Linked DNA regions of Caenorhabditis elegans. The protein of the gene in region 1 purifies or fractionates together with the protein of each later gene. This does not show direct contact. Each region holds a gene or a part of one and is shown in the gene's direction. Other genes may lie near its edges. The genes, in order: K08B12.1 and F54C8.1.

Region 1 (4,095 bases):
GAGACTTTGAAAGGAGTTTAAGCACATAAAAAGAAAACGGACACACAATTACACACCAGAATGTCGAGCGAAAAGGCGGAAAATTTGAGAAAAAAGGTGGTTTTGAAGCAATATCTTAAAAATCTTAGTTATACAGAAAAAAGACAAGACATATATTTTTCTCTATTGAAAAAATAATCGAAAATTTGAATAGCAATAATCGTTTCGTTGAGAAAGAGAGAGAGAGAGCAATTTTTGAAATGAGACATGATGAGAGAGGAGTGAAAAATGTAAAATGAAATAAATTAGCGTAAGAAAATTTAAAAAAAAAAGAAAATGGTAATATTGTCACGACTTTGGATAGAGAAGTGTGCACAATGAGTACAAGAGACAGTCAATAAATAGATGATCAGGGGAGGGGGATTATTTCTAAAATTATGCTTGTTCTACGGAAGTGAGAAAAAAAAGAGAAAACGCACAAGAAGTACAAAGTTGATGAGGGGATGAGGGGGAGGGCACCAGATATGAAGGCGTTATGTCTAGAGAGGGAGATAGCACCAGATTTACATCGTTTTGATTTTTTGGAAATTGGGAGAAAAATAAGTATGTAGACGAGAAGGAGAGAGTTGCAGAATTAGTCGTTATTTACAGATCTGTTCAGTGAATCCTGAAAAAATTGGCTTTAGGAATGAGATATGTTAATATTTCACGGGAATACAAAGCTCAGCGAATGCGTATTGCAAAGCTTATTTTACGGGCAAAATATCTTTTAGCGAAAACTACAGTAGTTTTTTAAATGACTACTGTAGCGCAAGTGTCGATTTACGGGCTCGATTTTTTAAATTAATTTATTCCCGAATAGTGACAGCGATATTCCATTTTCATCTGTTTTTTTTCGTAATATTTTATCGTTTTTTGTTACTGTTTTAATATTAGTTCGATAAATCAATGACACGTAAATCGACGCTACAGTACTCATGTAAAGTATTACTGTAGTTTTCGCTTCGAGATATTTTGCACGTCAAATATGTTGCGCAATATGCATTTTCGGAAATTTGTGTTCCCGTAATATCATAAGTTGATAATATTTCTGGAATATCTGAGTTTAAAATGAAAACGAAAATTTTTGAAAATATTTGAATTTTTTGAAACGTACTTTTCTTGAAAATGAAAAAAAAACAAACATTTGAATTTTTAGCTATTTAATATTTCCTATTTATGATAATATGAAATTTTTTTAAAAACTGCAAAAAAATTAGGAAATTTTCAAAAAAAAATCAATTTTTTTCGCGACTCCTTCGTTGACTGATTTTCAATTAATTTGAATTTTTAGTAAAAATATTGAATTTTTTCATTTTAATTATCTAACAAGAAATCTCACCTTATCGGATGAAGTATGCGAATGATTCGACTGCAAGTCAATGAAATTTTGTTGTAGCTCCATGACCGGTGCGGGACCCATATGAACTATATGCATGAAATCCGATGGGGTCGAGATTTGTATGTGACTCCGACGCTCCGAAGCACTCCTGAAATTAAGCTACCATTTTGGTTCATAAAATAATGTTGTTCGGTTGATGTATACCTATCATCTTTTCCGATTGTTCGGAAGGTGAACTTCCGTCGCGTCACTTTCCGTCCATCAGTGCTTCCAGATGCCAAATTCACTGGAACTTCTATTGAATCTTGATCTTGGAGCACATTTTGAAGAAGTACGAATATTGGAGAGTCATTGCAAAGGCATGTTGAGAGAATTCCATCACCAGAAAGTGGTTTTGCCGATCTGAAATTTTAACATACAACTATCAATATTTTAAAATTTAAATTAACAATTATCCCTTTAATTTCATGGCAACAACTACACTGATAAGATACACACGATAAGACTAATGATGATCCTGAAGGCGAAAGGATTCACAAGATGATATAGGTGATGATCATTTTCACTTTTCACCGCGCGCTAAACGGATCAAACTAGGCCAACAACCCAATTTCTTTGCCTCCTGTTTTTCTTTCTCGGATCTTCCAATATTTACGTTCGATTTTCGAATTTCTTCTTTCTCCCTGCTTCCTTGATGAAGTTTCGAGAGGTCTTCGCTCTCGCGGCCTTTGCCACATTGGCAATTTCACTCGGTCAAGCTGGCAACGTACTAGTTTGCAAGGACATTCAAGACTGTAAGACTTGTGCGGAAAGCTATATTCACATCCTTGGATTCAAAGAAGACTGCCGATGGTGCCTCGAGACTAACACGTGTGGTGGACCGATTTCTTGCCCAATCGGAAAACCAGTTATCCAAAAAGATGCCTTCAAATGCCCAACACCAGTACGTTTTTTTTGCAAACCATATGACGACAGACTAGGTTTTTTTTAAATTTCAGTACAAACCAACAGCTGGAAAACGGTACACCGACGCTTTGGGAAGATCCTTGTTCGCCGTCGCCACAGCTGTTCGTGATAGCAATGTGACAGAATGTCTGAGAAATGTTCGCCCAGATATCTCATTTTCCCGATCCTACGAAGTTGAATGTGATGGATCTGGAAATCTGTGCAAGGGAATCATTGCAAAGAGCGAAGAAGCCAAGGCCCTGTACGTTGCCTACAAGGGAAGTACTGCAGGAAAGCAAGTTTTCGCTGAGATGCTTCATGGATTGACTGCTCAACTTGGAGCATGGGAGAAATTTGAGTCGCAGGATGCAGGAGTAATCAATTACTTCCATACTGCATTCTACAGACTTTTCATTGATAGTGGAATGGAAGATGATCTAGTTGATTTGATGAAGAAACACAGAAACTATAGAGTTTGGGTGAGCTAGTTTAAGATTAAAATTGAGATTATTCGTTGATTCTAAATTTTTAAAAATCAAATAAATTTCAGTTGACTGGGCACTCTCTCGGAGGATCTCTTGCTTCCATGACAGCGCTCCATCTTGTCAAGAAGAAGTCTGTCGATAAAAATCGCATCCGCCTTATCACGTTCGGTGAGCCACGTACTGGAAACATTGCTTACGCCAAGGAAATCGAAGAGAACATTCCATTCCGTTATCGAGTAATCAAGCGTGGAGATCCAGTTCCAAATATGCCAGCTCCACTCAATCCAGCAGTTCTTACTGCAGCTCAATATAATAGACAAGCAATGCATTACCGATATCTGGTGCATTATGATAACAATATGGGAAAGGGAGATGGATTCAATGTGTGCTCCGTAGCTGATGATCTTGGATGTCGGAACACCGCCATGAGCAATTTGGCTGATCATACAAGTTACTTCCAAGTCGATCAGGATGACTTTGTGAGAAATCATTGCCCCCGTGGCCAACTTATTTAGTTTACATTTATATAATTTCTCTAATAATATGAATAATAATATTAATAAAATCTTACCTCAAATTGATTGTTTGAACCCATTCAGCAAGGGTCACATTGAAAATGTCGACTTCATTCTCCGAGAACACACATAAATACGGCTCGTGGTAGGCGAAATATTTGGCCTGTGTCGGGAACATCACTTCTGGTAGCCTAGATCGACGGCCCATTTCGTTGACATAAAGACCAATCATATTGAACACGAGGAGATATTCATCTGGAGAACCTGGTACATTCACAATCAATTTTGCCTCGTAGGATGTTTGTTGGTTGAGGAATTGCAGTGAAGTGTCCTCCATGTTGACAAGAGCTGGAAAAATTTCATTGCAACCAGGCGCAAAACTTAGCAATAAAAATACGGTATCCGGTCTCAACGCGACAAATTTTCAAGAGTACTGTAATTTTAAATATTTGTTGCTGCGAAATTTTAATCGAGTTTTCATAGTTTCATAGCTCAAGATTTTTTCAAAATTATTTGTTTTTATTGTTACATTTGAGTTAAAAAACATATATTTATCGAGAAAACTATGAAAAACATGAAAATTCCTCCGCAGTACAATTTAGAAAATACAGTAATCTTCGAAGGTGCACATCTTTTTGACTTTAATAAAAATTGTCGTGTTGAGACCCCGGATCAAGGGTGTTCGTACTTCGATTTTTTATAAAATCAAAAAACGAAGTTTTCTCGATTTTTCGAAAAAAAATTCCCATTTTTCAAAAATTAGCTTAATATTTTGGCAATCATTCTCTCT
Region 2 (3,858 bases), on another chromosome or scaffold:
AGAATACTTCAAAAATTTAGAAGTCATGTTACAAAACATACGTTTCGATTAATTTCTTCCTTTCAACTTCGGCAATTCTCTCAAGTCTATAGAGATATTCAACCTCATCAAACTTGTCTTCCAAATCTTTTTTCTTTTGCTTCGAAACCAACTCCTTGAGGTTGAAAAGTCTGTTTTCGATATCTTTCACTGCTTCTGGATCCGGAATGAAATTTCTCACAATGTACTGAAAAAAGTGTACTGTATAAAAGTAAAGGATATAAATGGCTTACAAGCAGAATTTTTGCAATGTTCATTCTTTTTATTTTCATCAAAGCATTAACTTTCATCGTTTTTGCAAATGGTTTTGTCATGGATATCCATTTGACGAGATGTCCAAGTTCTTGCCTGAAATTTGGTTTTTTTAAATTATCATTATTGTCTACATCTAGATCGTCAGATTTCTTACATCATAGTCAAGCATTGAATTCCAAGATGACGAGTTTTCATATCAAGAATATTGATTTTCTCTTCCAAAGTGTTCAGCCAAATATTCGATTCTGACAGGTATGCTGGCGGATCCTCATCATAAAGAAAACTGTCGTCATCTTTCAATTGAATAAACTTTGCATAACGAGATAATGATGTCGAGAATTCACATCGCTGGAAGCACAAATTTCGGGCTGACGTTGAGAGTTGTCCCCGAGCAATACGACAAACTTCCCTGAAAACCGATTAAAATTAGTAACAAATAATATATTCCAGTTGCGAAATGTTGCGCTTTTTACGACAAAACTACCGTAACGGGTCTCGAAACGACGAGTTTTTGTTAAATGCGAAAATGGTGTGTACCTTTAAAGAGTACTGTAATCACACTTACATATCGGGTTTGCTCAAGTTTTTTTCATGATTTGTTTAAATTTTTTTGTTTTAATTAAAAAATTTCTTAAGGAAAAACTTTTTAAAAAATCAATTAAAATTCCGCTGTGTTCTTTAAAGGCGCTCATCTCTTTGCATTTAACAAAAATTGTCGTGTCGAGACCTTCACCCAAAAATCGCAACATTTCAGGTAATATTACATACGGCATGTGCTTCGTTGCAAAAAGCTCAATTTTATCCAATCCATCAGTTCCGAGACCTCGTTCAAGAAATGCCTCGCCAGCCGCATCTGTCGACCCGGAGAGCAGCATTTCGAGAAGCACATTTCCAATTTTTACAGCTTTCGTTTTTGTATCGAATAATGAGTGAAGATTGTCTATTTGCTCTTCCCAATTTCGTTTTGTAGTTTCCAGAGAAATGCTGTACAAGTTGAAGCCAAATAGAAGGCGAATGTATCTAAATTTATTTTTAAAAGTAAATTGTTCGAGCTTATCGCAGAAATTCAAAAGCTTACCTCAGCGCAGTATCCCAAAGCGACGAATTAATATTCAATTTAACATTGAAAAGCAGCGTATGACATCCTTGGCCATCTTTTTTTGGTTCAGCTCCAGGAGGCTTCAACTCATTTTGTTTGCAGTCCAGAAATGGCCCATATGTAGTGGCGAGAAATGATACGCCACCAAACGCTGAACTGTAGTGCATATCGTAGAGCATGAGAAGGCTTTGATTGTATTGTAGAAGTGTGTCACTGATATCAATTTCCATATATGGGAACACACCAGCAACAAGTACAATAATCTTCGAATCCATGTCATCAGTTGCTAGAAGGATCGTATTTTGAAGAGATTCACGGAATGTTTCAGTTGAAATCAGAGTTCGCTCGAGACTTTCTTTATGTGCATCTTCGTGTTTGAAAGATGAACCATCCTGAAACAAAATTATTGAGGAACAGTTTTTTTTTCATTGAAAAAAGTCAGATTCTGTCGATTTTTTCAAATTTTAATTTCGAATAGTTCATGTGAAATTAATTAAACAATTCCACGGAAAATACCACGTCAGTAGATCTGATATGGTCGAATTTGATTGAAAAATCAATTATTTCTCTCAATTGTTTGTTGCAAAACACGTCGATCATATCATCAAGGTTAGTTTCTTACCTCATCAAGCCTCTGGTATACGAATGCGATTTCCTCTTGACTGATGTTCGGTGTCGTTTCTGCCAATTCGATAGCTCCTTCGATGGCTTCAACATCTGAAATTTTCGATATTGATTAAGGAGTCTCTAATTAGAATTAATTTCAGATGATGTTCACAGCAAAGTGTGCCATGCAAAACATCAGAAACGTGGCGATCGTTGGATCAGGGCAGATGGGATCGGGAATAGCTCAAGTTACGGCGAGTAGTGGATTCAATGTGATGCTGGCCGATGTTAATAAAAAAGCACTTGATAGAGCGATGAAGGCAATTAGTCAAAGTGTGACGCATCTTTCAAAAAAGCAAAAAGGAACTGATAAGGTATATATCGTAATTGTTTGAAGATTCTCATTCTTGTTTTTTCCAGGAAAAGTCGGATTTCGTGACTCTCACAATGTCACGTATCAAAACGTGTAACAATGTGTCAACCGCCGTTGCTGATGCCGATCTGATCATCGAAGCCGCCATTGAGAACATCGATTTGAAGCGGGGAATCTTTGCCCAAATCGAGCAGTCTTGCAAGAAGGATTCGATTTTGACCACGAACACTTCATCGTTCCTTCTTGAGGATGTCGCCAAAGGATTGCAAGATAAAACTCGCTTCGGAGGACTCCACTTCTTCAATCCGGTGCCAGTTATGAAGCTTCTCGAGGTAATTCGATCTGATGACACTTCGGATGAAACATATGCAACGCTGATCAAGTTTGGAACAGCTGTTGGAAAAACAACAGTCGCTTGTAAGGATAGTCCTGGATTCATTGTCAATCGTCTGCTTATTCCATACTTTTTCGAAGCAGCGAGAATGTATGAACGAGGAGATGCATCAATGACCGTATGTTGATTTTCAGCTTTCTAAAAACTCCAAATATCGTTTCAGGACATCGATGAAGCCATGAAGTTGGGAGCAGGACATCCAATGGGACCATTCGAGCTGGCCGACTACATTGGTCTCGACACGGTCAAATTCGTCATGGATGGATGGGCAGCAAAGTATCCAGAAGTACAACTATTCGAAGCAAGTCCATTGGTAGATAAGCTGGTTGCCGAGGGAAAACTTGGAAGAAAAACTGGTGACGGATTCTACTCGTACAAGAAATAATAGGAAAGATTACTTCTGTTTTTTGATAGAATAAAACATTCTTACTTTTGATTCTTGTAGTGAATTCTCCAAGATTGCTTATAAATGGCTTCTCACGAACACAATTCCAGTGGAGTTTGGCGATTTTTTCGGATGCAGCTCTGAATTTCAATAGATATTTCGAACTATTATATAGATCTCTTACTTGACTGAAAATCGAACTTTTCCCGTTTCCACATCTAACAAATGTATTATGCCTTTACTTGTAGCTGCTGCGAGAAAGCGTCCATCCGGTGAAAAGTGCAATGCAGAAACAGAGCTGTCCAATTTACATTCGGTTCCGACAGCTTGAATCATATTGATATTGGTCTGAAATATCCTGATTTGATAATATTTTTGAAATCTTCCTGTTACCTTCCAAATCATTTTCCATGATGTTCTTTTCAACAATATTTCGCCAGTTTTCGATCCAAGAGCGATGAGATCATTTTGCGAACTGAAACACATACTCGACACTTTGAATGGTGTGCGGAATGTCCGCCTATTATTGAGAATTTGAGTTTTGACTATTGAAAAGTCCATCTGAAATGAAGAATCGATAGTAGGGGTGCCTGGTCCGTAGCTCGAACAGGTATTCAATATTCAAGTCCTAGAAATTTGAAAGAACACAACACACAAAATGGAATTATCACAAAGTTCATAAAAATTGATTAATTATAACAATATGA

What was found.
Region 2: the proteins of K08B12.1 (region 1) and F54C8.1 fractionate together in Caenorhabditis elegans (co-fractionation; one large-scale study listed by BioGRID). This does not show direct contact.

What each region holds. Positions count from the first base shown.
Region 1 is NC_003283.11:6,257,417-6,261,511, forward strand, and holds K08B12.1 (Fungal lipase-type domain-containing protein), read left to right. Parts: upstream 1-1,950; 5' UTR 1,951-2,054; coding exon 2,055-2,303; intron 2,304-2,358; coding exon 2,359-2,784; intron 2,785-2,855; coding exon 2,856-3,305; 3' UTR 3,306-3,361; downstream 3,362-4,095. Other genes in the region: Serine/threonine-protein kinase mrck-1, read right to left, coding at 614-646, 1,361-1,508, 1,565-1,762, 3,362-3,653.
Region 2 is NC_003281.10:9,437,747-9,441,604, forward strand, and holds F54C8.1 (putative 3-hydroxyacyl-CoA dehydrogenase F54C8.1), read left to right. Parts: upstream 1-1,952; 5' UTR 1,953-2,002; intron 2,003-2,015; coding exon of another isoform or gene 2,016-2,110; intron 2,111-2,160; 5' UTR 2,161-2,163; coding exon 2,164-2,373; intron 2,374-2,419; coding exon 2,420-2,884; intron 2,885-2,929; coding exon 2,930-3,151; 3' UTR 3,152-3,196; downstream 3,197-3,858. Other genes in the region: emb-30 (Abnormal embryogenesis protein 30), read right to left, coding at 42-226, 273-387, 449-703, 1,063-1,314, 1,373-1,785, 2,016-2,110, 3,197-3,291, 3,336-3,499 and 1 more.